4 linked regions of the Tamandua tetradactyla genome follow. The protein of the gene in region 2 interacts with the protein of the main gene of each other region in a pairwise test. Links are inferred from orthologs where the notes say so. Each region holds a gene or a part of one and is shown on either strand. Other genes may lie near its edges. The genes, in order: UTP25, MIPOL1, CCT3 and TTC12.

Region 1 (6,971 bases), on a different chromosome or scaffold from region 2:
ATCAGTTAAAATACTGAGAATAGTACCTGACATCTTAAAAAAACCCTACAAGGCTATAAGGAAAATAGGCATTAAGATAGTGATGCCTATTTTAGTGATAAAAAGTCACACAGCTATATTTAGACAATGGTATATTACTCCAGCAATATAAATGAATAAACTAATACATGAACAGCATGATGAATTGCAAAAGCATGCTGAACAAAAGAAGCCAGATACAAAAGGGTATATACCGTATGAGTTCATGTATATGATATTCTAGAACAGGCAAAACTAATCTATAGTAACAGAAAGCGAATCAGTGGTCACCTAATGTGGGGGGGGGGGGGTGACAGCAAAAGAACAAGGAAAAATTTTTTGGAAGTAATGGAAATGTTCTACATCTTGGTTTTGGTGGTACTACCACAGATGTATACATTGTCAAAACTCATCAAACTTGAAATGGGTGTGTTTTATTTTATGTAAATTAGACCTCAATTAAGCTGATTATATATTAAAGAAAAAAGTTACCTGTAAGTCTAGATAAGAAAGAGTTCCTTTGCGCTTTAAATCCCAGCTCTTCCCTGAAGCATTCCCTAATTTACCATAGCAGCGTGTGACTACTCTGCCTCTATCTCTTCAACACTTTGTATGTAGCTGTTTCATACAAATCTGCTGCTTGAAAACATTTGTATATTTTTATGTTTATATTCCACTAAACTTTCCCTAAGGGAGGAACAACAACCTCTTCAACACAGTGAGATCATCACAATGACAAGCTATGTTCTCCTTCCTCTATATCAGTGGGGTTGGGGGGGTGGCAGTGCTTTCAGTAGGATCGACAAAGTACCTGAAATCATAAGCAAAAATGTTTTTTCTCCATTTTTCTGCTGAGAGGGTCTTGTATTTGCACAAAATTCTCAAAGACATCACTGAACCCAACAAGGTTTATGAATCTCTGCTATAGATCCCTGTGCTCTCACCCAGCTCACACAGGACAGGGCCCTGTGTCCAGGGAGCAATCTGTCTGTGGTTCCGGCAAAGGTGAGCCCACACCAAAGACACCTACTCTCATGCCTTTCAGTAGACACTGCTGCAGTCTCTTCTTCCACACTGACATCATCATCATCGTCATCATCACCCTCACTGTTTATTTCTGCTTCATCTGCAACACTGTCTTCTTCTTCCTCTTCATCCTCGTCTTCCTCAGAAACATTCTTCAATGTGGCAAGTAGTTTGTGGTACCCTGAAACTTGCTCTGGTTCGCTCTCGGCTTCACTTTCAGAACCTGAAGTATCTGAACTTTCTGACTAAAAGGGAAAATGGAAGTTTTCAAATAAAAAGCTATATTGTTCTCATCATATCTTATGTCTATGGCCAGGCCAAAAGTGTAACAGGTTCAGACTTTCCTAACTAAAAATTAGTTTTTCTGCAAATATTATGCAACCCTATTTATTCAACCAAGCCCAGCACCAAATGTATTTAAAATGGCTAATCTAGCTATGATTCTGGAGGCTTTTTATCTTCTTCAAACTGTTAATGCCCCACGTGGGAAGAAAACTAACTTTTAAGACATAGAGCTTTAAGTTATAATGAGATTTAATTTATATCCTAGACATGACAGAATATACATTTAAAGGAACCACAGGAGAAATTATAACCCAAAAAAAAAAAAACCAACAAAAAACTACAATACAAGAAACAATCTTTCAGTTTGTTGTAATGAGATAGTAACTCTACTCATTTTGCTACTTGTGGCTCATTTTATGCAGGGCAAACCATTTGCCCCTTATGATTCACTAAGAGTCTTCTAGTAGGTCCCCTTAACTGGTCCTATTTAATAGGCTTAAGTCTCTAAGAACAGTTTCAAACTCTGGCTTTCATATTTGTTACCACAATGGTAATTACAGGCATCTGCACAAAACTAAGCACTACTACTAAAATAATAACTTAGACCTAAAATCGAAAAGAGTAGAAACGTGGTAAAACTTTATTATCATATGTAATCCCCAAAGTAACAATTAGAAAGCACAATTATAAAGAAGGCATAAAGAAAGCATTACCAGTTGACAGATCTGTGGTTTTGCTTCCTTTCTGGAAACCCTGAGAAGAAACAGGTAATGTTAAATACTACTAGTATGTAATAACTAAATAAAAGTCTGGTACATTAAAATGCAAAAGAGACTAAATTAGTGTAAATTCATTGTAACCATAGGATACGACCAATAGAGAGTAACTGACAAGTCACGCACTTACTTATGACAAATGAAAAGTCACATAGAAACTGGATGTATCCACATCCAAAAGAAGGACACAATTTGGCAAATAAAAGGCCTCGGGGTTCATCTTTTCTCTAGAAAAATCCTCAATTAGAAGAGCTCACCAATGGCTAATAAGGCAGCTCAGACTGGTGGGATGGGCACCAAGGTCACAGCCGTGAAGTATGGACACCAACCGAGGAACACACAATTACCTGTCAGATAACATCAGTCTCTTCACTGTAACTGGATAGATTACAATGATGTCGAAGGTCACAAGCAATTTTATAAACACGCACGCACACACACACAAACAACCTTAGAAGATCTCATGGTCAGATCTCTTACCATACAAAATCCAGCCCACACAGGTAGACATGCCGTCTAGCGTGAAGTTACCAGTTCAACAAAGGTAGAAAGACAACTGAAGAACCCCATTTCCCAGCTGAAAGCCGCGAGAATCATCGCTAGTCGAGGACCTGTGGGACCCGACTACGAAGAGAAACTCCGGTTCCCACCGGGAAAGACACTGGCACCACTGGTTCCTGCCCCGCCCCCTCCGGACCTGTCATAGAAGGGATGTTCCTCGCCGAAATCCCGAAGATGTTTCTTCTGCTTTTTAGTCAGGGTGCTGAGCAGTTGGCTCTGGCTCCGGCTCCCGCGTTTGCCCATACTGAAAACGCCAGATATGCCCACCTTCAAGAATCGTTGTATTTCCCGGCAAGTTGCTCAGACAACCCAACCACGTGTGCCCGCCGACAGCGCTTTACGGCGGAAGCAGGATGCAAGAAAGCAGATCCGCTTTACGACGCGTTTTCACGCCAGACGCTAGAACTTCCTGGTCCCGATTCTGCCCTCTAGCGAGGCTCCTTGGAAGTGCACGCTGGCACATTTACTTACAGATCCCTGAACTTGGCAGATCGGTCTTGGAACTTTCCCTGTGGGTGGGAGAGTACTTGTGGTTAGGTTTTGGTTATGGTAATCACCTACAGAAATGCGTAGGCGTGGATATGGTTGCATGCCGTGACTTTATATTACACTATGATAAAAATATCAACCATCAGGCACGGATGCCTGACGCATCTCACTTTATCCTCACAACTGTACAGAAGTAGGTCCTGTGATAAGCCTGATATTGCAGATGGGAAAACTGGTGTCTGGAAAAGGTATACTCTAGCAAAAGAGGAGATGGAAATCCAAGTTTGATGGGCCATATGCTTTTAGCTACTAAGCGCCACCACCTTGCGTGTGTTATATCAGGAATGGGGTCACACGGTTGAGATTCCTGACCCCCACACCACTCCCGCCATTCCTAAAAGTATTAGAAGAACCCTAGAAAACAAATCCGAACCTACATCCCTCGTTTTACAGGTGCAGCAAAGACAAGCAAAGGAACTTTCCAAAAATCATCCCGAGAGTCAATGTTGGAGAAGGCAGTAGAATTCAATCCAATGGCTTGGGTAAAGAGTGGAGAAACTTTTCAGTATGAAGGGACTAATGGATATACATCTTGATCATGGCGGTGGTTACACCGTGTAACCAAAACTGATCCAACTGAACACTTAAAATTGGTGAATTTTATATATGTAAAAAACCTAAGCAAGTAAAAAAAAAGAAAAACTGGACTCAGTAGCCCAGGGATATGCAGATCTCAGGATAAACATAGTGAGAAACTTTTCCTAAACGTATAATATCATGTTCTATAAAAGCAAAGTACAAATTCACAGACTGCAAAATTCAGCAGAATATTTAAGGTAAAACAGGAGGCATTAAAGAGAGTGTTCACTGGACTCCGTTATATAGGGGTATGTCTATGGAAAAATTTGAGCTTTGCCCAATACCATTTTACACCTATGGGAAGTTGTAATAAAACTATTAGCACCCTATTTTGTCAGTGCTGGTAGCCATCTACTCCTAATTAGACTCTGAGAGGCTGAGGTGGAGAAGGCAACGACAGGGAGGAGAAAATATGCAAACAGAGCTGATGGTGACCAGCAGCTGGCCCAATCAAGAACCCATAAACGGACATCTGTCTTCTGTCCAATTTGAAGATAAATGGTACAGTCACTTATGTCAACAAAACGCTGTTTGCAAAATGTCGTCATATATTTTAAGGTGCTAACCACAGTAAACCTGGCCATAACAATAAAGAGCCATGCTTTTTTTCCTCCTCCAACCATATCCCAGTGCCCAGCTTCTCTCCCCAGAGGCAACCAGTTTCCTGGTATTCTTCCAGTGTTTTCTATAAAAAGCTATGCTCTTGAGCACTTGCGGTGATTTCTGAGTCATTCTTTGTTTCCACATTCTGGCAGTTCTGTGTGAAGATCTAGACCATTCTCAGATTCGGGCAAAAATGTGCTCTAGCCCCACCCAAACTGTCTCATCATTGGCTCACAGGGCAGGGAAAGAGGAGACTGTCTTTTGAAAATATTTATAATAGCCTTTGAAAAAATAAAAGTAGGCTTTTTTAGAACTTTTAACCTGAAAGCCCCAAATTTAAGCATTTTCCCAGTGAAAGTTCTCTTAGGGAAACCCATACAAAGATGTACATACCAACAAGTGAAGGCCCTAGGAAAGTTGTAATAAAGGCAAAAATTTTTCTATCCTTTCTTCTTCCCACTCTTGGCCCTTCCTTTCCCCTCCTCCAAAGTTGTTTCTTATCTCTGCCCTCAAATACTCAGTAGTTTTCGAGAGGTAAAGGCAGTCTAGGAAATAATCTTTTATATTCGTTCATAAAGAAATGTTAATGAATTAATAAGTTACTTTTTCCCAGGGCACTTGCAATTTAGAAGAGACTCGATTCTCAAAGGGTGGAGACAGATACCCCTCCCTTAGGACAAGAATATCAGAATATCCAGGAAGGTGTTATAACCAAAAAACAAAACCAAAATTTTTTTTATAGAAAAGTTCAAACATATACAAAAGTAGACAGGATGAAAAAATGAACTCCCATGTACCCATTACTCAGCTTCAATGATTATCAACTCAAGGAGACTTCATTTCATGTAAATGTCCACTCACTGCTTTATTATTATTTTTTTATTATGCTCTTGCCCCCACTCTGCATTCTTTCTGAAGCACGTCCCTAACATCATATTATTTTATCTGTAGATATTTTAGTATGCATTTCTAAAAGTAAAGGTTATTTTCAAATATAACCACAATACCATTATTTCACCTAAAAATATTGGTTAATGTCATCATGTATCTATCTGATCAATTTTCAAATTTCTAAATCGTCTCTTGTCATAATTATTTTACACTTCATTGTTTTAATATATTCCTCTTTTATATTTCCTGTGAATTGGTAGTTGGATCTACAGTGTTAATCAAGACTATAATTTATGTGATATTTTATGCTTCCATCAGAAGGCACACAATGTCTGGTTGCCTTTCTTTTTATGATACTAGCACCCACTGATGCTAAATGTCTGAAACTGTTCATTCAGTAGGGATTGCCATTATGGGGCTGTTCTATCATTTCTTCGTACCTAGTTGCTGGACTACTTCTAGGAAGATAAACTTCTCCCTCACCTAAGATGGCTACCCAAGGGGACAATTTTATGAAAAAAAGCAGAGTAAATACTTGATTATTTCCCTTCACTTAGCAATTTTCAACATAAGTTGATTGACTATATCGTCTAACAGTGATGGACCAAGTTTTCGCATTTATTTTTGTTTTTATTATTTTTATGAACTCACGAAGGTATACAAATTTGACGTGTTTATAATCCCTTGCAACTACGATGATATATATGGTTTGAAAGAGCTTTTTTTGATATATAGCTGTATCTTTGAAAGACAAACAAACCACTTTCTAATGCAAACCACAGAAAGTTAGCAGAGCTCTAGCTGATATTCTCAATAGAACCAGGGGGAAGTACACAAGAGGGTACATATAAGATACTTGGGATGTTTCAGACAAGAAAGTGTATCACAAGGGCACATGGGTTCAGAAGATGTTGAGAAGGAGCAACATGAAATCCAAAAGTTTGAATCTCTAATGATGAAGTTTCATACAGCTCTACTTCTGGCTCAGGTTGCTTCTGGGAAAAGATGTGTGTGTGTGTGTGTGTGTATGTGTTGTGTGTGTGTTGTGTGTGTGTGTGCTCAGGAGTGTGGGAGTCAGGCTCTCCTTGGAGACCCTTAAATCATATAGACAGTTTCCTACATACAGGACCAGCTCCTGCACCACATATGCACACACATGTCTCTACCCACATCTGAAGTAATCAGGCCTCTCCCTGAGAGCATTGGCAGAAATCAGTCTCTCATTACCCTTATAATATAATGAACTCATTCATTCATTCAAAAAATAATTTACCGAAGACTTACAATGTGCCAGGCACCATGGTAGTAGCTGAGACTAAGAAAAAGGATACGACCCATCCCCAGCCTTCTCCAGGCGTTCACAGTCATGTCAGGAGACAGATAAGTACACAGATGACAATCACAGTGCTTTGCGAGAAACGGTGAACTGAGAAATGCTGAATGCTAAGGAAGCAGCCAGCACAGGGGTCTTCCCAGCCTGGAGCGATCTGCTCTGCGCTGCCATTCGGCATCTGTCCATCAGTCACATTCATTGAACACTAATGTTCAACTCAGAATTGATCTAGGTTCCAGAATTTAGGTTGCATGAGCTGTTACTGCTGACTTCATGACCAGCTTGTGTGTGTATTCAAGACAGGAGATGAAGAATATAGAAAGAGCTGCATAGTCATCGGATTACACAGC
Region 2 (7,077 bases):
TATTTGGACATAAAAACTTAATCACTTCAAAAAATATGATTTCCCAAATTTTGCTGTTATTCTAGTGCTATCATGCTATCACTGCCATGCAAACTCATCCTGTGACCATTTGAAAATGACACTATAAAAGTCTAACTACCAAGAGTTCCTCTAAAACACTACCTACCGCTATTACTAGAAACAGTTTGCCACCTAGGCAAACCAGGTAGTCTAAGTAAAAAAATTTTTTAATCTTAATATTAAATACATGTTCCTAGGCCAGCTGCATTATATGTTTTGAAGACCCTCTATCTTTCTGTGACCTTCAGGCTGTTCCACTGGATCATTTTCATGATCTAATGAATTCTCCTTATTTCTGTAGGTATCAGTGTGGCCAGCTATCTCAATGCCAGCGTTGCTGTTACACTCTCAATTCCATAGTCTACAAAATTAGCAGTATTAAGATACCACGTCCTATCACAGGAAAGAAAGCTTTGGGTTGGTCTTTGAGTTCAATTTTCCAGACAATTATATATTAATGTAAAATATACTGAGTTAAATGGATAATCCCCAAGAAATCTGACTCTGGGCCAAAAATGACTGTTATTTCCTTTTTCAACTATTATACAGATGAGGAGAGGGCTACAATCAAATAGGATTCTTAGAAGCAGGGAAATTCTGTTCTGCCGGGCTTCGTAAATAGTTTCTGACAACTGGTATCTGTGTAAATGGATTTGATGGTCCCCTGGGGGTTCAATACTGTTGACAGAGCTGTTTCTTCAGAGTGGTTGAGCAAGAATTATCTCTAGGGATCCTACTGGGGTTACTCTGAATAGCAACACCCCAGCTACCTGAGAGCTCAGGGACAGAAAAGAGAAAGGAGCAAAGAAGTACTGTAGGCAAGTACATTCACACCAGTGGATCTCCTATCTTCTTAAGATGCACGTGCTACTTCAGAGTATATCTAAAATGAATTATACTAAAGGCAATGTATTAATGTTTCCCACACTTGCTAACACAATTGGTCATCACTTCTTTAAAGTTTTCATCCTTTATGGCTTTGCATCTGATCATATAATTAATTAAAAAGAGCAAAAGCCTCATGTTTAGCACATCTTTCTTTTCTATAATGTCTGTCACGCTATATTTGGATATAAATGACATGCTTTCTGCTACTAAAGCAGGAATATAAATTAGTAGAATAGTTTCACATTTTAAACGAAATATACTTTTTCAATGGTTAAGGATTTATTTATGAACATTAGTTTCAAAGTAATAAAAACATTATCAACTAGCCTCTAAATAACTTCTACCAATTCTTTAAGTAAATGTAGGTTCATTCTCTATCTCCCCCTCCGTACATGTATATGTGTATAAATACAATTTATTTCCTACTACTTATTTCCTTCTTTTGTCGGGGAAAAGGTTAGTTTTCCACATAGATAAATTTAATATGTTTTTCAGCCCAAAGATAAAAGAAAAACATCAGAATCTTCAGTCATATGACTTACTAAGGTTTACAAGAGAAAAGTTTAAAATTTCCAAAGAAAACACTGGTTTGTTTAGACTTTCCAGAGTGTATGGATGACTTCTGAAGCCATACTGCAGGGCTTGAATTTTGGTTCTACCACTTAGCTGTATGCCCTTTAGCAAATTATTTAACCTTTCATGAATTTCCCTATCTACAAGATGTGCTATTACCTACACCTCAAAAGGTAGTAATGAGGATTAAGATATTTTAAATTATATAAATCTCTAGGAAAAATGTCAACATAGAAGGCACACTCAATTAATGTTAGCTGCTAGCTGTTATAATCTGCTTTAAGATTAAAGCTTGTTTCACTATTTTGATTTCACCTTCCTGAGAGATCACAAATATCACCATCTTGAGATCACAAACTTTCAATTCAAATGCATATTAATTAATCTCTTGATTTAAAGGTATATCTTTAATTAATCTCTCTAGTATTTAGAATAAAATCAAAAAAAGACATCTATTATACTAATAGGGCATTACCTTAGTTTTCATAACTAAAAATTTCTCAATTTCCTACATAAATTTAGTTGATGATCTATGGCCATCACAGCTATCCTTATCTGGCAAGTTATTATGTTTACATTTATTGTTTTTACCCCCAAAAGTTATCAACTATGTGGGAAAATTCTTCAGAAGCATTAATGTATATAAAACTTTCTTGTTAAAATATCAGGAGACACAGGTTGGAAAATAAAATGCTATCTAATTCAATTCTTCAAAGAAAATTCCATCCCATAGAAAGAAAATGGGAAATTTCAACAGCAAATTTCTGTAACATAATTTGAGTACTCACTATACTGGCAAATGACATTGGATAGAATTAGGTACTTAACACAGGCACTTATCCTTCAGAGAATCTAATTTAGGGGTCATAGGAAAATAGGCAACTTTGGACCTTTGACTTTAAAAATGCAGACTTGTTACCTGGATACTGTATACTAATTCAGGGATTTTATTATTTGTGTTTCAGCTTGAATAGCCATTAAAAAAAATGTAACAGTCACTTTTATTGGTCTGCACACACATTACTCTCTATCTCAACTTAAAAAAACTTTTACATGTACTTTTGGTTGTCTCCACATAAAGTAAAAATAAAACTGTTAAGAGAATAATTTATCTTTGTCTATTTTTTAATCTGATTGCCAATTTAATTCTGAATGCGTCTTAACTGGATGCACCGGAGAAAAAGAATTACATAGATATGGTCTATACAATTTATGGCCTTCTCAACTATATTTGGTCCTTTTTTTTAGACTGTAAGCTTCCTATACTCATTAAAAGCACATTTTAAAAAACTGTAGCTATCTTAGAACTTCTATTCACTGAAAAGAAATGGATCAATAAGAGGAAATATTGATGCAAGTCACTAATACAATTTTAAAGCTTCTAGCAACCACATTAAAAAGTAACTAGAGGGCCATGCGATGGTGGCTCAGGGGCAGAATTCTCACCTGCCATGCCGGAGACCTAGGTTCCATTCCCAGTGCCTGCCCATGCAGAAGAAAAAAAAAGTAACTAGAACAAGTTAAATTATATTTATTTAACCCAATATATAAAAAATACTATCATTTCAACATGTAATCAATTATTATTGATAAACTTTACATTCTTGTTTATACTACACTTACAGTATATCTTAATATGGACTAGACACATTTCAAGGGCCTAAGAGCCTCACGTGGCTACTGAATCAGAAAGCACACAGGTTCACAGATTATTATTTAGTTATAATAAGGTGCATTATATTTACATATAATGTATACTATAGATATATAAAGGGGAAGCAGAAAGCATTTGAGAGGTAGAGGCTAGCTGTAGCTATTAAATTTTGATATAAGATTTCATAAAGTCAATAAATCTCCCACTGAATACAAAACTATGGAAACTGTCAATATCAATAATTCATTTATTTGGGTACTAGAGTTACACATTCAAAATAAACTGAACCCCTTATACTCTTACATGGTTGTATCTCTAGATAACATATATGTCAAAAAGAATTGGTGGTCATTTTATCTTTGATCATAATAATTCAATGCTGTAGTATACAATGTTTCTAATTATCATGGAAAATTACTTTATTGACATTTTGGTTTTTATTATAAAAAGCTATTTAAAGTGGTGGTATTACAACAATGTTTTTTAAGTTTCTGTTGTTTCATCAAGTCTCAAATAGTCATGAACTCATTCATTCTATTAAGGAAAAATTTAGATTCTGTGTAAAACTACTCAAAGTATATAAGCATTTGTGCAATTATATATTAATGTTTAAGCTTTTCCAACATCCTTCCTCATATGAAGGCCATAGATACAATATAACAGTAATCTACAGCTTAGGCTACCTATTAACTGATAAATATTTCACATAAACTAAGGTTTTTAAAAACATATTGCCCTGCATAAAGGATTCCAAATATTATTTAGGCTAAAATGATTGTGAAAACTATCTTAAAATTGATCAACTATCATAACCAATTTTTATTCTTTTTTTTCTCCCAGTGATACAAGCTATTTGGCTAATTTGAACTCTTTCAACCTTTCTAAAATATTCTCATCATAGGAATAATTTATGAGACAACTGAAAACATGAATGAACAGAGCAAGTCGTAACTTTCTACAACTGCAAGCAAAATAAGTTTAATAACTATATTATTTAACTATAAACACATACCAATTATGATTTCACAAATTCACAATAATTTCACAAATCATTTATGGATGGAACTTCCCCAATAATAACTATAAAGGAAAATAACAGATTTTATTCATACATGCCTCTCATTTTATTTAAGAACATCTTTACAATCCTTACACTTTGAAAACATCAAAATAGAAGAATCACCAGTCAGATACTAAGTGGGAATCACTGAAACACAGTGTTAGTTCTAATGGATGGATGATTGTGTTTGGTCTTTTGAAACTTTGAAGTATAGGTAAGTCTTGATCACACAAATTAATAAATCCTAAAGCTGAAGTTAACAATAACCATTACACCCAAATTCTACAGCTTAGCCCAGCCAATTTTTCAAAAGGTCAGGTTGTGAACTGGAGAAGATCAGGGAGGTCCACTGCATAGCTTTGTTGCCAGGCATTTCTCGTCTGGATTGTTGCAGGCATTTATTAGTATTCGTCAGCAGACTCAACAAAGCAAACAAGAAATTCAAGCACGAATAATAAAATGAAATGCTGCTATATAACCCTTTGTCATTCAGCAAATATGGGACTTTTTAGCTACATTGTTCCTAAACCTGGGTTACTACTTTAATTTTTCTCCACAGTGCTGACTGAATGAGTATGCATGTGTGTTAAATGCAGAGCTCCCCTAACAACTGCAGGACTGCCATTTAATCTGTTGGTAGATGGACCATTTCCTGTGGGAACCCTAGCTATGATTTCCAGATCCACCAAATAAATCTCAGATTAAGATTCCAAATGAAACCTGCCTTTGGCAGATAAAAAATGTCAAGATGGATATAAACAGTAAAATTATAAACTGTCTAGGTGATGCATGACAAACCAGTGTTCATTTTTTTTTACTGACATGTGCCCAGATACCAAAACTATATGAGACATTCATCAAATGTCACACTTTCATAATATTGGAAGCATCATTAAAACTGTTTGACTAAGGACCTAAAAGTGTTTAAGCAGTAGCTCAAAAGTATATTTGTGCAAAGTAGAAGAATAAATTTACATATCAGCAGCAACTCATAAGGGATGGGTAAATATTCTGTTTATCTCTTATTGTAATTCAGGTTACTTTAAATACAAGATTTTAGGAAATCATTATACTCTATATGGCATCATTACATAACTTTCTATGCAAATGGCATGTTTTATTCAAATGCACCATTTTTCCCGGCAAAAAGAAAATAAAAACAAAAACAAACCAAAGGCATAAAAGGAAAAGCTGGGGGATCCCATTTCATTAATCAACTGTGCCTTGTTAATCAGTGATACTATAGCCTCACCAACCCATGTTATAGTCGGCATTTTAAACTGTAAGCAAAAACATTAAATATTTGAGACATAAAAGCGTGAAAAGAGTAAAATTTTTAACGGATTCATTTCAAATGACTTGGAGGAGGGGAAGAGATTCTTCAACAAGAAAAAAGTAATAAAGGTTCAATATAGAACATCATAGAGAGCAAATGGCCTATTAAAAATGCAGAGGAAGTCTCTGGTGCTAGTGTCTACTGCATTCTCAGGAGATCGAGACGCGTTGTTGTTGTTTTCTATTTTTTTTTTTTAATGAAAATTTTTGTTTTATCTTTGTTCATCTTTCCTGGACTAATAAGCCCTGGTCTTAGCTCTTAGGTTAATTTAAAATTGCAGGCAATGAAGGTTTCTGAAAGGAAACAAACATTTACTGAACTGTAAATAACACCTTTTTTTTTTTAACTTTAAACTCTTAAAAGCTATTAACTAGGCTTCCAGTGACTCCAAATTTTGGAACATTTGGTTTCTTTATAATTTTGAAACTGTTCTCCTTTAAATGGGAATTTTTTCAAGTTATAAAATCTTTACACTTACATTAAACTGTGGAAAAGACACAGAAGAGCTTATACTCAATATTCCAAATCTTAGAATTTGTATACAAACCTGACCCTTTATTCTGTCTTTCCTATCACAGTTACTCTAAAACATGTTGGTTCAAGGAAACTAATGATAAGCCCTTACCTATACTAACCTATTAATCTAAAAATTTTGAAAACAGGGCGGAAAAAGGATGTTAATTAGGAAAGAAATAAAGATATCTTGGGCTTAACTTTGACCATATTTCTGTATGAAAAAAATGCTTAAATCAATGAACACACCATGCTAGTTAACTTTAGAATACAGTGAATTACTGTAGGTATAGCCAGCAGTACCATATTAAAAAGCAGCATTTAATTGTTAATTTTTATATATGTAACAATTTGCAAAACTTACTCAGTTCCTATGCAACAAGTATATTTTATCAATATGAACCAATCAGTTCTAACTTCTAATCCACTAGCATCCTAATTTCAAAGTAGCAAAAGTTCACAATGTATGAAAACTAGATAATAAAAAAGGTGAAATTAGAAAAATAATAATGAAAGGTAAATTGTTTAAAATTGTTTTTTTAACCCTACATCTTACAAGCATAATTTTACCATCTGGCAAAGGAAATTTTACCCAAAAGCTACAGATCAGACTTTTTTTAATTCAGTCACTTAGACTATCAACTAATCTATAAAACCAATTTCAAAAATTTGAAGGCAGTTTTAAGTTTGCTGTTTATACTCCCAAGGAAAAATCATATGAAAAAGGAAAACACAAATTACATCTGAAACTTCTCCCCAAAAGATAAAGTGCCCTCCACAACAGGTTGTTTTGATTCTAAAAATCTAAAAGTTGGAGTATTTGGTGACCCTCTCAAGTTTTTTATTCAACTACTACAGACCAATTTATAAACAAAAAGTAGTGAGTGGACATATGCTAAAATATTTTTTGCCACTTACGAAAAAAAGTATAAATTCAAGAAGTCACATCAGTCCTACTATACAAACAGCCAATCAACTTGGACCATTTCTGTA
Region 3 (7,438 bases), on a different chromosome or scaffold from region 2:
GGCTAATTTCAATCATAGATTTGGCTGCTGGATGCTGCACTTGAATCTGGGGGAGAAGGAAAAAAAAAAAAAAAAGACTTAATACCACTCAAAGACTTCTAAACCCATTCTGCTTTGCCCTAACTTTTGAGCTTCTTGCTCTACACTTACTCTCTTTCCCTTTATTTCCTTACCACACCTTGAAAGACTAAAAAGAGTAATTCCACTTTCCCAATACTCTTACTTTTTGGGAAAAAATGCATTATGCCAACTCAGTTATTCGTTCCCAGAAGAGTAGCTTTTAGCTTATTTACTTGACAGACCACCTACATACATACTTCTTTATAGATATTATTATTTATAAAACTGTTTGAAAAGAAAATGAAAAGTCACACCTCACGAAGAATGGCATTGCCATCATTGGTCATCACAATGCCTCCCATTGGGTCCAAAAGCATCTAAGAAGCAAAAGTTATATTTGAGAGTCCCAGAAAACAGAAAGGGAAAATAAAATTCGTAGTCTGAGAACTTCAATAAGAGACAAGCCTACCTTCATCATGGACTTGGGTCCCAAACATGTTCTGATGATATCTGCAATAGTCTAATGGACAGAAAACATTGAAAAAAAAAAAAAGCACAAGTCTGAGGCCTGTGAGAGTGGTAGAAGGGGGCATGGGTAATATGCATAGCCACTGTTTTAATTTTAACAATGACACCTTTACTTTAGAGTAAGGTTGGTAACCACTACAGAGCATGCCCTGTGCCTAGCTCTCATCCCCTCAGGGAATGTTTTCAGAGTGGATGTAGAAAGAAACAACCTCACCAGAAAAAAGGGGAAAGGCCTCCTAGAAGTATCAGTCTTTCTTTCCATGACAGTGATTTCCATACCACCTTAAATCTGGTCTAGAGATACTTCATTCCTTCATTCAAAATATAATTACTGACTGCCCACACAGGACCTACAGTGGGCCCTAGGATATAGAAAGTAATTAATAGTAATTCCTTCCCCTCAAATAACTCAGTACAGTATGGGAGACAAATACGAATAGAATATTTAAAAACAACTACAGTAACAGAAATAGTTTTTATGTAAAAAAACTATTAGGCCTAATTCAGAGGGGAGGGCCCCCTTCCCTCTCCATCTCATCAGGGCAATGTCCTGAAAACAATTTTTCCTCTAACTGCACATGGGATTTATCACTATGAAGAAATAAAGAAATACTAAAAGGCAAACTACTACACTCTAAACACTTAAAAGATATGCTACCTTGGCAGCACTGATGTTCCCAGACTGAACTTTTCTTCCAGATTCACGCTTTGTGTTCTGGCCTGAGAGATAAAAAACAAAAAGGCAACAGCCCATAATGGCTCCACTGTACATAAGCCATTTATCCCCCAACCTCTGAAAGTAAAAATAAAGATACAGGTATACATAAAGGTCAAAACTTACTAATCAATTGTATCTCAAGAAGCAGTTAAAAATTCATACTTATGGCTATTTACCTCTTTATTTACTTTGATTTCTGATATACTAAGAAATAACCCCATAACACTTCAACTGTGGAATCTTGGTTATCACCTTCCCGCTATCCAAACATTCACATAATTCAAGTAGGGATTATTTGCAGACCTGAAAAAGACTTCACATATCACTATTCACCCCAGGACCCCCTCAATGGACATAAACCAAGGCAATGCCTCACCAAGTTACATATTCCCCTACAAGTTAATTTAACTCTATAAATCTTTCAATCCAGTCTCATCAAATTTAAACACCTGCAAACCCTCAAGGTTTACATTCCTATCTCAGGCAGTGGTAACTAAAAACCTGCATGGACCTACAAACCTTCAGAAAGAAAATAACTTTTTCAGGACAAAGTAAAATTTTTTGTAAAAAAAATCTTCTTAAAAGGTATTCCCTAGGTATAAAGAAAATGGATAAAAACTCTGAACAGCATTCTGTATAAACATGGCAGCGTAAGGGAAATGGTCAGACAGGCACCTTAGGTGTATAGAAGTTAAACACACAATGGAAATATACCTGGGGAAGACAATGGAGGTGCAGCCTGTAAATCAGAAAGAACTTAAGGATATTTCCAAAGAGTAAAGAGAACCACTCTAAAAGAGAAACTTGGAAAACAGCTGGTTAGAGGGAAAGATTACAAAGCAGCAGTCACAGAGGAAATGATTACACCTGAAGAAAAACCAGTGGGAGAAGAAAGGTTACTTCAGGAACAGGAATTACTGAATGAAAATTTAAAAGGAATCAATGGTAAGTGTCCAAGAATACCATTCACTATTTGCAAGATCCTTTTCTGAGCAGTTTGCCTACTTATTTAATCTCCACAATTTTACGAGGAAATACTATTAACCCCATTATACAGATCGAAACACAAACAACTTGCCCGAAGACACGCTAACAAGGGGTGAGCCAAGGAAATTAAGTTAGGCCTAATGAAAAAAAAACAAAACACATTATTCTTTCATTATTACACCACACTGAAAACCCCGCAAGAGGACTACGACAGGGCGCAGGGGCCTGGGGCGAGGAACCGGACCGAGTGGCAAGGAGCCTCCCGATATGAATACAAGGAAAGGCAGGAGGATCGGCGAAGAAAAGCATCAGTTTGCGTCTGTGTAGAGGGGAGAATGGGTTAAGAAAAAGGAGGAAAGCGGACTTCCTAAACGAGCCCGATGACTAGGAGAGTCGGTGGCCGGGCCAGGGCGGGACCTACTGAGGCAACACTGAGAAGAGTACCGGGATGGAAGCGAAAAAGAGGCCCTTCCCCGGATTCCCCAGAACTCACTGAGCACGAGCACGGGACGATGGCCCATCATGGCGACGTGATACAAAGCCGGGTACCCACAGCTGGGGAGGCGGCAGAACCTTCTAGAGAAAGAAAACCAAGCAAAAGCCCAGAAAACGGTGTCTCCTCCGGGCTTACACCTAAACCCGCTACTCTCCCAGCCGCCGCCAATCACCGCACGTAGCTCATTAACCGACAAGAAAACAGGCCAATGGACATCGTTAGTCCCGCCTCCCACGCAAGAACGGCAGGGCAAGCTAGATAGAGAGAGCGCGAAGATGGAAATGGTAGGGCACCGGCGCTTGCGCAATAGGGTGGCCGATCCTGACCGCGTGCAGCGCGAACTTCAGCGCAAGCGCCAAGGCTCAGGCAGTTGGCCACACCCTACTGCGCATGCGCATCAGCTACATTGAGGGGCGGGCGCTGGGGTTGAGGCTTTGGATTAACGCCGCAGGTGAGGTTTTTAAAGTGTCTTGAGCCTCAGTGCTTTTCGGAGTTCAAGGAAAGTGTGACAGTTTCCAGTGTTTTGTTCCGGCTTTAGCAACGAGAAGGAATAGAAGGTCTGAATTTCAACTGGCCGTTTAGGAAAGACCTGGTCGGTTTGGTGCGGGAGATGATGGGAGTTGTAGTTTTAGCGGGCTGAGCGCACCGAGCCTTTCCCCAGGCACCCTGGGAGTTGTGGCTCATCGATTTTGGACTCGCATGACTATGTGCGAAACTTTCCCTTCTTAGGCCCGTGTTTACTAAACCTGTAGCGGTAGATGGTTTGCGTTTTTTTTTTTTTAGTTCGTTTATCAGAAACCTTTGCTCAAATATTCTGTCTAGTTTCTGTTTCCTGTTATCCTTGTTGTCACTTGCAATTTATTCCCCCTGAAATGTCCTTTTTGTTTTCTCTATCCTGTGCCCGTCAGGAGTGTCATTGTCATTGTCTACTCCCATTCTCGCTTCTTCTGGTACCCTTTATTTCCCTCTCTGCATTTTTAAAATTTCTTTGGGAGTGAAGCCTATGGCCTGTTCACCTGAGGAAATCACACAAAGCTTTTCAATATAATGAAAATGTCTTCAGTTCCAATTATGAACTATTCTTAGCTCCCGAGGTAGTGTATAAATGTGTTGCTGGTGTTAAAAATAATAACAAATCCATATTATGAAAGACCCTTCCAATATCAAAAATTTAAAATTGCCATAGCCCAAACAACCCCAATGAGAGGTATGGAAAGATCAAAGGTGGTGGTGAAATTATACATAGACGATAGGACTTAACAAATGAATATGAATGCTGAATCATTAAATTGATATCTCTTTTAGTCTCTAATATTTTAGAGAGGCTAGAAGTAAAAACCTAAAATTGTGAAATTGTAATTCATGTCAAAGTCTGAAATAGGTTCTATAACTCGTTTTGGTGCTGTGCTTGGAAATTTATAGCTTTTTTAATATATGTTATTGTTCACAAAAAAGAAGGAAAAAAAGTCAGTTGTGATGATAAAAACGTATTTAAGCTCTCTAGCCCCCTATATTCTGGAGCAGCTAGAAGGGAAAATATGAGAGGATGGTGTTGTGGCTCATGACGAACTCTGGGATCTATCCTGTAACCACTTTTTGAAGAGTGCTACTATTGCTTTTTTATTTCTTTGCTTTGTATATATGTTATACTATACAATAAAAAAAGTTTTAAAAGAAAAAAAAAATTCTGTCTAGTGCTTTGAGGTTCTCTTTCCGCATGGCAGCCCTGCACCCCCACCATGCACTCAGTTGCTGATCCCTTAGAGATTTTGATGGGGAGCCAGATATTTAAAATTGCTGTGCAGGACAGGAAAAGGGATGATACTGCAGAAATTAAACATGAAGAGAATACCCTGTTAAACCAGAGAGAAATTGGGGCTGCTTTCTGTCGGGATTTTGTAACCCGTTCTTGTTGATTTTTAAATTTATTTTGTTTATTAAACATACAAACATAAACATTCTTACCATATGATCATTCCATTTTACATATATGATCAGTAATTCACAATATCATCACATAGTTATATATGCATCATCGTGATCATTTCTTCAAACATTTGTGTCAATTCAGAAAAAGAAATGAAAACAAAAAAATTCATACATACCATACCCCTTACCCCTCCCTTTCATTGATCACTAGCATTTCAATCTACTAAATTTTTATTTTAACATTTCTTCCCCCTATTATCTGTTTATTTTTAATCCATATTATCTGTTTATTTATAAGGTATGTTTTATCTACCTTATATGTGTATAAGGTAGATAAAAGAAGCATCAGACACAAGACTTACACCATCAGACAGTCACATAGCAAAAGCTCTATCATTATACAATCATCTTCAAGAAACATGGCTACTGAACACAGCTCTACAGTTTCAGGCACTTCCCTCCAGCCTCTCCATTACACCTTAACTAAGAAGGTGATATCTATTTAATGTGTAAGAATAACCTCCAGGATAACCTCTCCACTCTGTTTGGAATCTCTCAGCCACTAACACTCCATTTTGTCTCATTTCTGTCTTCCCCCTTTCCATGGAGAAGGTTTTCTCAATCCCTTGGTGCTGAGTCTCAGCTCATTCTGGGATTTCTGTCCTACGTTGCCAGGAAAGTCCACACCGCTGGGAGTCATGACCTATGTAGAGAGGGGGAGGTCAGTGAGTTTCCATGTCATGTTGGCTGAGAGAGAGAGCCACATCTGAGCAACAATAGATGTCTCCTTGGGGGTGAGTCTTAGGCCTATTTTTTTTGTTTTTTTTTTAACATGGGCAGGCACCGGGAATCGAACCCAGGTCTCTGGCATGGCAGGCAAGAACTCTACCTGCTAAGCCACCATGGCCTGTCCAGGCCTAATTTTAAGTAGGCTTAGCCTATCCTTTGGGGGTTTAAGTTTCACATGAACAAACCCCAAGACTGGGGACTCAGCCTATTGCTTTGGTTGTTCCCACTGCTTGTGAGAACATCAGGAATTCTCCACTTGGGAAAGTTGAATTTCCCCCCCTTCTCACCATCCCCCCAAGGGAACTTTGCAAATACTTTTTTATTCACTGTTCAAATCACTCTGGGATTTATCGGGGCATCACTCTGGACAAGCCTACAAAATCTCATGCCCTACTCAAGGTTCCATGCACTTATGGTATTCATTTAAGCTAGTTGTGACCCATTCTTAGGAAACTTAAATTTGTAAGTTTAAATAAGTTGGTTAAATTACTATTTTGTCCAGAAGAAAGGAAGCAATAATAATAGAAACAGTAGTAATAGAACGGTAGATTGCTGATAAATAACTTATATTTGGCCATGAAATAGAGCACACCCTTTCCTCTCCAAATTAAAACAGCTTGAAACTTGCTCAAGACAGCTTATGAAGTTGTCAATAGTAAAAATAATAGCATGTATTTAAAATATGTATATTTTTATTGAGAAATCTCCATGCACATACAGTCTATACAGTCAAGAGTTGTTGATTATGTGATGCTGTGATTCTTTCCCAGGTGCCACACCTGTTGGTGTCCAGATGGAGCAGCACACTAGTCGTCCTACTAGCAGAAGAGGTGTGTGTCAGAGACCTTGTTTCCCCTCCCTTAAACGCCAGACCTCCCCAATTCCTCAGCCTATGGGAAAATGATTCTAGTTGTATATATGCTTTTCCCTTTTACTTGGTTAATTGGAAAGCAGGTGTGTTTGTTCTGCATTCCCCACTAAATGGGAACATTGCTGTATTCCCAATGCCTAGAACTGGATCTCTTATATGGTAGATGTTCAATAATTATTAGGTAAATTTCTATCTCCCCTTATAATAAGATGTTATGAACAGGGCTCCATTAAGACAAGGTGTTGACTAGAGTGAATAGATAATAAGTTTGAGTGGGACAATCCCAGTGGTGGCCAGGAGAATGTCTTAGGCCGTCTGACTCCAGAGCCTACCCACTTAACTGTAGGAGGTTAGCTTCCTGTAACAGAGACACCCACTCTGCCCTCCTTGAACATAGATTTAATTAGTTCTTTTCACAGAGTATATAGTGCAGTGGTAAAGAGCATAATTGGCATCTGCAGGCCCAACGTTAATTCCAGCGCTGCCATGTAATCATTGTGGAATCATGAGCAGATTTCCTGTTTCCTGAAATAAAATGGGGATTAGTGATCTCACAGGGCTGTTGTGGGAAATACATAAGATAAGGTATGTAAAGGACTTTTCATTGTTTTCTCCATCCTGACTTCTTTGCGGCTCCCCAACCTAATCTTCTGTTGTACATTGTCTAATGAGAAATACCATTCCTTTAGTATAGGCTGTGAGTAAAAGATTCTTCAAACCTTATAATCCAGTAGATAGCACGTCCTTATACACACAGGGTGGGCTCAAATAATTTAACGGTGCACTTGCATGGAAATTAACAAATTTTCAAGTGGTGAATTGAGAGATGAATTTCAGCTTCTATCTCTATACCACTCTACATGAACCATCAAATGACTGATGCCTCTGGAGCACGTGGAAGGAGAAGGTGGGTGACCTACCGTAGGCCTTGGAAAATCCCCAAACCCAGTAAAAAGGAAAAAATATATATATGTTCCCTCACCAAGAATAGCTGACAGGGAACATGACAGACTTTAGTTTTCTAAAGCTCGATGACTTTCCGGCCTGAAAGCATCTCAGC
Region 4 (7,820 bases), on a different chromosome or scaffold from region 2:
GGGATGGGGGTGTCTGGGCCAGATGTGCATTTTACCTACTTTACACGATGGGGAATGTAAGCCTGGAGGCAGAAGAAACAATTAAGGGGTTGTTGAAATAGTCTGGGTGAGAAGAACCAGAGCCAAGGGAGAGGTGGAGAGGAAGAGTTGGAGGAAGCAGCAAAACTCGAGGGCTGACTGGATACAGGGCTGGAGGGTGGTGCCACCCAGAGATGAGGAGAAGCAGGCCTCATTTGGGAGGGAAGGCTGAGGTGGGGAAGAGGGGGGTGATGATGAATTCCATTTCGGATACATTACGTTTGAGGTGTTAATGGGGTGAAGTGGATATAACCGTTGACCATAAAACTGAGGCTCAGAAAAGAAGTAAAGCTAGTGATGTAGACACAGGGATTATCAGAAAACAGGGGCTACTTAATATCATCTCCTTGGACTAGATCACCTGAAAAGAAAGGTGAGCAGGGGGCCAAGGCTGGAGCCCCCACAGAAGAGCAATATTTAAAGATGAGCAGGGGAGAGGACCAGGATGTGTCATTTATGAAGATATCCAAACTATTTTTTTTAGCCATTTTATTCTTTGGACCTATACAATCTTCTGGAGGTAGCAACGTCAACACATTTCTATTTGCTATGTTAGGTTTGTTTGTTTGCTACAAGCTCCCTGATGTTTGGCCAGGGGCTGCCTGGTTTGGAATCTCTTGTGCCTAACTGTGGGATCAGATGATGTTCTGTGAGACGCCACCTATCTGAGCCGGGCAAAGGGTCTTCTTATCCAGAGGAAGAGAGAGGGGATGACAGCCCTGTGCCACCCATGTACCTTGATGGATGCTGAGGAAAAGCCATTTGATATTTGCCTCTGCAGGTAAAATGGAGCTGGCTCTACCCTGAAACGGGAAAGATCCCAGACTGATCAACAGGAACCTTGAGTGCTCTCCTCGAAGGGAACAGCCAGAGCTCATTGACAACAGGGAAACAGAAGGTCAACAGCAACTGTTTGACCCGGTTCCACACAGAGGGGACAAAATAGAGAGGAGAGCTGTGAGCCTGAATTCCAATAAGAATGTTAACAAGTTTTCTGATACCAATTAATGCTGCCAGAAAGTACTGCCCCAGGCTATAACGTTGTTCTCAATATGCTTTCTATTAGTTCTAATTTACATTTTTCCTTAAAAGTCATTAAACTTGTCAGGTAACCCAGCAACTAACTTAGAGTGATGATCTCTTTTTATTCACTCCTACCCCTCTAAAGCAGAATTTAATTGGTTTATGATTTACTGGTACTTACTGATTTCATCCACATTTTTAAGAAATTTTTGCAAGTCTTTCTCTTGATCCTCAGCCATTGTAGATCAGAATCCCTGAGGGAGGCAGCATAAACGATGAAAATTAATAAGAAAACACTAAACAGAATTCGTCAAGCTCATTAGCCTTCTAAAACTAAGAGCCAAGTGATAATTTTTAAGATGGATTTCTTTTTACAAACGCAATGAATAACAGCATGCTGACTGCTGTTTACCGCCAAGGATAGTTATTATCTGTGGAGCTATTTCTGGAAAGCTGCCAGCCCTCTCTCCACTGGGGAAATGTCCCTGAAGAAACGACTCCCCAAAACCAGCATCGGTTGCTGTGACCCGGGGTCCTGGTGTGGAGGCTGGGGTGAGAGCCCCTGACCCAGTGCCAGGGAGAGAGAAGGATGCCATCACCTAACTTCCACCCTGACAGACCCCTCCCTGCAGTTGTAAGAAGCTTTGCCCTGGCCTTCTGACAAATGGAGACTGGTTGCAATTTGCATCTTGATGTTCGTACTTGTTTAAAATGTAAGCCTTTGGCTTGTTTCTGGGGAGTGAAGAGAAGCTACAATTTCACTGAAGGGATGAGAGCTAATTTCTTCTCTCCAGTTAGGTGCCTTTAGATTTATTAACTCAGTGTTGCTTCTGAGTGAAATCACACCATGTATGCAGTGGTTCCCAAAGGTTCATCCACAGACCATAACTATCACCTGGAAACTTGTTACATATATAGATTTTTTAGTCTTAGCCCAGATTCTCAATCAGTAAGGCTGGAATAGTTGACAGCAAGGTGGAGTTTTAGACATACTTCTAGTGGGTCTAATTCTCTGGTAGGTTTGGGACCCAGTACTAACGGTAACACACCTATAACTGGAAATCAGAAATCTGCCAGGCTTTCATTTCTGCCAGGAACAAGATGTGAGCACTTTCACCTCTGAGTCTGTGTCCTTATTTTCACCGATTTCCAGCTCTGTGGCCTTGGCTAAAGTCACAACCTCTGAGCCTTAGGCTTCAGGGACAACAAATCTCGAGGACTGAAGGGCTGACCTGGGGATTAACGTAAAGCACCAGTCACACAATGAGTGGCAAATGTGAGGCACCCTCACCTATAAAACAGGAGGTGGGGATGTACGTGTTCGTTGCATGATCAATAAAGCTCTTTTCAGCCCAAACATTTGCAATTCCCACGGAACCAAGGCCAAGGGAGGAACATCCATGAGCAGGAACCGACCCCTCTGCACCAAGGGCAGGGATCTACGGCCGCAAAATGCCAGCACGTGCAACGAACGCCAAGGGAAGAGGGTTAGCGTAGTACGGCACAGGAAGTGCCCGGGGCTTCACTCCGTAGGGGACTGGGACCTGCATGGCCGCGCGCGGGACCGGCGACACGCACGTCCGGCGCCGACGACGCGCACGCTCAGTCGCCCGCTCACGGCCCGGCGCCGAGGGGCGGAGCCGATGCCACTGTTGCCCCGGCAACCGCTCCACCGCGTCCACCGGCCCCTGTGCCCGCGATGGGGTCCCAGCCCGCGGAAGATACCGTCCCATCTGCTGGGAACCAAACCAGCGTCTTTTTCTCGGACCCCATGACGCCAGTCTAGGGCCAGTTCCTGGGGAAGACCCCGCAGCCACCGCGGTGCACTGACCTGAAACGCCCAGAGTCGGACAGGAAATGGCGGCGGGGGCCGGACGGTGACTGGCCCCGGCCCTGGAGGAAAGGGGCGGGGTCCAGGGATGGAGGGGGCGGGGCCATGGGCAGCGGGGCGGGGCGTGAGTTCGCGCTTGGTTTCGCCGCGAATTCCAAGGCCGGGTAAGGGACTGGGGTACCCGACGAAGTCGCTGGGAAGGGGAAGCAGCAAAGAAGTTCGGAGGGACCCGTGCTGGTCTCTAGAGCAGTGCCAAGTTTTCGCCTTCTGTTCTTCTAAAGGTGGGGGAAGGGTCTTGCTCGAACAGTTTAGTAGCTCTGGCTCAAAAGGCTGAAATTCTCCGGGGTTCTCTGGAGTGGCTTGTATGAATCCCGGTTTTATAGATTGATAAAGGTGGGCCTTGGGAGTGAGTTGTAACCAATTTGATGCTCGGTTTTCTCATCTATTAAATGAAGAAATGACACTTTCCTGTAAGGTTCAAGTCCCTGGCACCCAAGACAGTAGGAATAAGTGGCAGTTAGTATCCAGGGAATCACTGCAGGATTCAGAGCAGAATGAGACAATGGACACGTTCATTCACACTCTGAATACATGCACACACCCTTAAACAGACGCCTGTCTGTTTAAAAAAGAAAAAAAAATCAGTGGTTAAGTGGTGGGTTACCACGCATGTTTGGGCGGTAGTCCCATCTTGAGCTTAAACTGTTGTTTAGAAACATCTGGGCCTTCTTGGCGAACTTGTGGGTGTTTTATAGAAATCTGGCTAGTAGGGTGGAAGAGGCAGCCCCTGGGGACAGGACTTACGAGAGAAGAGGGGTCCAGGCAGGCTGCTAGATCCAACGCTGAGTCTGGGTATGGCCAGGTGACTGTCTTAAGGCAGACCCCAGAGGATGCATGGCCAAGCCCCACAGAGAGCAGAGGACCCATCTGATTGAAATGTCCAGAAGGCATCGGTACAAAATGTTATTAACTATTGTAGCAACTATTGTGATTAGTGTGCCTTGGAGCAGTGCTTCTGCACTTTTTGCAATATCTGAGGATCTTGTTAAAATGTGGGTTCTGGTTCAGTAGTCCTGGGGGCAAGATTCCTCAGTGACAGCTGTCTTTGGGCTGTGGACGACACTGGGTAGCAATGCACAGACACGTTATTAGAGGCTGGGGATGTAGTAGAGCAAGCTGGTCCCAAGGCGCCAGATTCAAGGAGGTAAAGGTCAATGAACAAACCATCATTTAAATTTTCACTGGGATAAGCGCCAAAAGAAGGAAAGGGTGAAAAGCAAAAGTAGCAAAGGGTGCTGTGAATGACTAGTCTGCAAATCTTGGAAATAATGTTCTCTGAGGAAGTGATGTTTAAGCCAAGACTATCTTTTCTTGGGGGGGTTGGGGGGGTGCATGGTATGAGAATCAAACCCAGGTCTCCCGCATTGAAGAGACTGTCTTTTTAAAGTTACTGTTAGGTTGGGTTATCCATCACTCCCAGGCAAAATTAATGGTAATTCATAGGGGAAGCAAGCATTCATTCCACTAATATTACTTTTAAAGGTGGACATCTAAATGCTTTCATCATAACTCTAAATAGTCCCAAATGTTAGAATACTAGCATACTACAGTCTTGATATTTTTAAATAAAGCACATTGATTTTTAAAAATTTATTTATTAATTAAAAAATTAAACCAAATAAAACATCAACATATATAATCAGTAATTCACAATATCATCACTTAGTAAGCACATTGATTTAAGGACTCTAAACATCAGAACAATTTGATATTGAGGTCATTCAACTGAAAGGCACATGAATGATATATTTTCTTTATAGCTAGGAATTATATAATTCCTGTTCTCAAAATCATATTTCCATTTTATATACCTCCCCAAATAATATCTCAATGGAGGGTATTTTTATGCTTGAACTCCTTTCATTGTTTGTCCCATCATATTTCTCTGCCACAGAAGTATTGATAAACAGTCTTTGGTAGCTTCCTTTGACCAGATACCACACTAAGAGCTATGGGCACAGCCTCTGTCCTCAAGGAGCACACAGCCGTCCAGGTCCAACAAAGAAGACAGATGCCTAAACAGATTATGAGAACTGTTGATAAGTGCAGTGATGGTCTAGTGCCTAAGGGGGTGGGGAGAGGAAGTGGTATAGCCAAGGTCCCATAGGAATAGGAATTGAAGTGCTGATATAGGAATTGGGGTGTGTGGAGCTATACAGACAGAGGGAAAGGATGAGCAAAGGTTGGGAGGCAAAAAACATTTTCTGTTTCTAAGAAAACAGAAAAATGTAAGGTGAGAGTGATGAGGGAGGAGCCTAGGGAGATAGGTAGGGACAGGACATCAAGGTAGAAACCCATTAAGTAAGAAAGTGACAAAGTCAGCAATGCAGGCGGGAGATGCTGAGTTACCTGGGGCAGGAGGGATGTGGGAAGGACATAAAGGTGGAAGCAGGTGCTTTGGGGACTATAGTTACTTAGGCTTCAGAAGAAGCTTCCACCTCAGTGATCCCGCATATAACTTCGCTGAGCCTAGCCTTTGCTCCCAAACTCCAGCCCTCTAAATCCAATGGGATAAGTAGTCTTTGAGTTTCTCGGGAGTAGGGATATTGTTTTACTTTGTCTTGGCATGCCCAGCACCTGGCGCTTATTGGAACTAAGTAAAGATTTGTTGAATAAGAAGTGAGTTAATCTCTTGTTCTGCTTGCAGGAAGACTCAATTCTAAATTATTCTAGATGGGAAAGTAATAGGGGTATTTATAGTCTCTGCCTCCGGCTTTCCAGAGAGCAAGCATTGTTGCGGTCACAAAATAATTTTTAGGGTAGCGCTCACACTAGACAGACTGATGGCTTTAAACTCTCAGAAGACCTAGTAAGCTCTGGATAGTCAATCCTTGGGTTGTCCACAAAACCTAAAGGTTACAGTTTTCCTCCTTTCCAGCACACAGTAAGGTCTCACTTTCTTACCTTTTGAAGCTAGGTATGATCAGGTGACTTGCTAGGAAGAAGTGAAGTGGACAGATGCCTTTTAAAGGCAGCATGTGACTCACCCTATGTACCCCTTCCCTCTACCCTAGCAGCGGAAGGCAGATGCTCTTTTAGCCCGAGTCCCTGATGACACATCAGGTGGGGAACAAGAGCCCTTTCTTGTTATGATCCACAAAGACCTGGGCTTGTTTGTAACCACAGCGGGACATGATCCATCACGTGATCTTCACTTGCAACAGTGACAAGGGCTGGGGATCCTGGCACAGGCTTATGTAGCTCATGACGGTTGCGATTTACATTGTGTCAGTGTCACGGCTTTCTCATGCATTTTCAAGCATGTAGAGAGAAACGGCTTTTTAAAAGCAGGGACTTGCATTTCAAATATATACCACTTCGGGAACCTTTAGGAATCACACTTTCACAACTGCTACTGCTGCCGACCTAAGTCCCTTGTGTGCTGCTTAAGCTTTTCTTTTTCTTTATGTCTTCAGTAAAAACTGGAGACTATTTGATCACCTTCCACTGTATAGTAAATCTGAGACTTGGAGATTGTTGTAAGCCAGTTTTCTTCTCTTTTACTCTCTATCATTTATTTGTATATACAATCCTAGCTCTTTGCCTTTCCTCTCTAATCATACTTTTTAAATTTAAGAGAGATCAAGAAGGATAAAACCTTTTTTCTGAGGGCAGATGCATGAGGAATAAAGGGGTCCTATCTTTGCCTGCTGGAAGTAAAGGATGTAGAGAAGGTGGGTCTGGAGCCCTTTGGATAAAACCCCCCCCTGGATGCTGGGGCTGCAACTCATTTTATAGCTTTGGCTTTAAGACTTAGAGCAGGAAGCTGAAGGACTTTAGCAGTCTCTCCATCCCTAAAGAAACCCCCCAAATCATGTTTGATCCTCCCACCCCCAATATATGTCCTTTCACTTAAGAACAAAACAAGAAAGAAAAAGCTGAAATTTCACCTCTTGTACTCCCCAACTCTTCTTGTTCTTTCAATTCCCACTTTACTATAGATGAAGGAGTAATTTCAGGATCCAGTCACAGATCTAGTCTGTGGGTCCATTAGAGGCAAACATCTTTCTTGAGATTCCTGTGCTGAATTAATGACACTGTGGTTAATGTCAAAAAAACTGAGAATAACTGACCCTCACCGAGCCACTGCCACCGAGGCAGGCCCTCTGCTCAATCTTTTATTGTCTGGGGTAGATTGAGCTGTGTTCTTAGTTTTAATCCATTCCCCTGGCTGTGAACCCATTGTAAATAGGACCACTTGAAGTTGTCATTTTTAGTTAAGGTATGGTCTTAATCTTATTACTGGAAATTTAGAGAGAAAGCTATGGAAGAAGCAGGAAGTTGGAAGTCACAGAACATGAAAGAGAAAGGAAAGGACCTCATCTATGATGGGAAAGCCAAGGAACCTGAGGATTTTCAGCCAGCCAAAACTCGGTCAGCCCCAGGAGGAAGCGAACCTCCCAGGCTCTAAAACTGTGAACCCATAAATTCCTGCTTTTAAGGCACCAATTTTGTGGCATTTGTTATAGCAGCTGGTAAACTAAGACACATGTATTATTTAACCTGCATTTTCAGCAGCCTTCACGACGTTCTCATTACCGTTTCACAGAGAAGAAAATACCATCAGGAAAGTTAAGTGTGTTGCCAGAGGCTGAGCTGAGGTGTGAACCCGGGGCTGTGCGGTCCCCCACCCCCAGCCCACCCTGCCTCAGGTCGCTGTCCTGTCTCCCGTGTGTCATCACTCCTCCCACGGGAGCTCTGCTTTGAACTCCTACAGTCCTCAGCAAGGACCTCCTTGGTCCTGTGGCTGGATAGCCCCTCATAGGCTGGTCTGAGCCTCCAAAGGCAATGGATATGTCCTTCCTGTAGCCAGAGGGGCATATCCATT

What was found.
Region 1: the proteins of MIPOL1 (region 2) and UTP25 interact in binary tests that used the Homo sapiens proteins (3 or more experiments, as listed by UniProt). The link is inferred for Tamandua tetradactyla from reciprocal best matches to the Homo sapiens genes MIPOL1 and UTP25.
Region 3: the proteins of MIPOL1 (region 2) and CCT3 interact in binary tests that used the Homo sapiens proteins (3 or more experiments, as listed by UniProt). The two-hybrid records come from large-scale screens. The link is inferred for Tamandua tetradactyla from reciprocal best matches to the Homo sapiens genes MIPOL1 and CCT3.
Region 4: the proteins of MIPOL1 (region 2) and TTC12 interact in binary tests that used the Homo sapiens proteins (3 or more experiments, as listed by UniProt). The two-hybrid records come from large-scale screens. The link is inferred for Tamandua tetradactyla from reciprocal best matches to the Homo sapiens genes MIPOL1 and TTC12.

What each region holds. Positions count from the first base shown.
Region 1 is NC_135330.1:67,905,638-67,912,608, reverse strand, and holds the start of UTP25 (U3 small nucleolar RNA-associated protein 25 homolog), read right to left. Parts: upstream 3,003-6,971; 5' UTR 2,910-3,002; coding exon 2,803-2,909; intron 2,083-2,802; coding exon 2,043-2,082; intron 1,290-2,042; coding exon 1,049-1,289; intron 1-1,048. UniProt on the Homo sapiens protein: Component of the ribosomal small subunit processome for the biogenesis of ribosomes, functions in pre-ribosomal RNA (pre-rRNA) processing. Essential for embryonic development in part through the regulation of p53 pathway.
Region 2 is NC_135340.1:16,267,822-16,274,898, forward strand, and holds the start of MIPOL1 (mirror-image polydactyly gene 1 protein), read right to left. Parts: upstream 3,013-7,077; 5' UTR 2,975-3,012; coding exon 2,968-2,974; intron 1-2,967.
Region 3 is NC_135330.1:9,339,622-9,347,059, forward strand, and holds the start of CCT3 (T-complex protein 1 subunit gamma), read right to left. Parts: upstream 3,022-7,438; 5' UTR 2,818-3,021; coding exon 2,787-2,817; intron 1,309-2,786; coding exon 1,247-1,308; intron 581-1,246; coding exon 530-580; intron 438-529; coding exon 375-437; intron 47-374; coding exon 1-46. Other genes in the region: TSACC (TSSK6-activating co-chaperone protein), read left to right, coding at 3,180-3,240, 6,278-6,337. UniProt on the Homo sapiens protein: Component of the chaperonin-containing T-complex (TRiC), a molecular chaperone complex that assists the folding of actin, tubulin and other proteins upon ATP hydrolysis.
Region 4 is NC_135334.1:27,791,732-27,799,551, forward strand, and holds the start of TTC12 (tetratricopeptide repeat protein 12), read right to left. Parts: upstream 3,019-7,820; 5' UTR 2,933-3,018; exon of another isoform or gene 2,741-2,932; intron 2,603-2,740; exon of another isoform or gene 2,393-2,602; intron 2,334-2,392; exon of another isoform or gene 2,151-2,333; intron 1,356-2,150; 5' UTR 1,341-1,355; coding exon 1,283-1,340; intron 1-1,282. UniProt on the Homo sapiens protein: Cytoplasmic protein that plays a role in the proper assembly of dynein arm complexes in motile cilia in both respiratory cells and sperm flagella.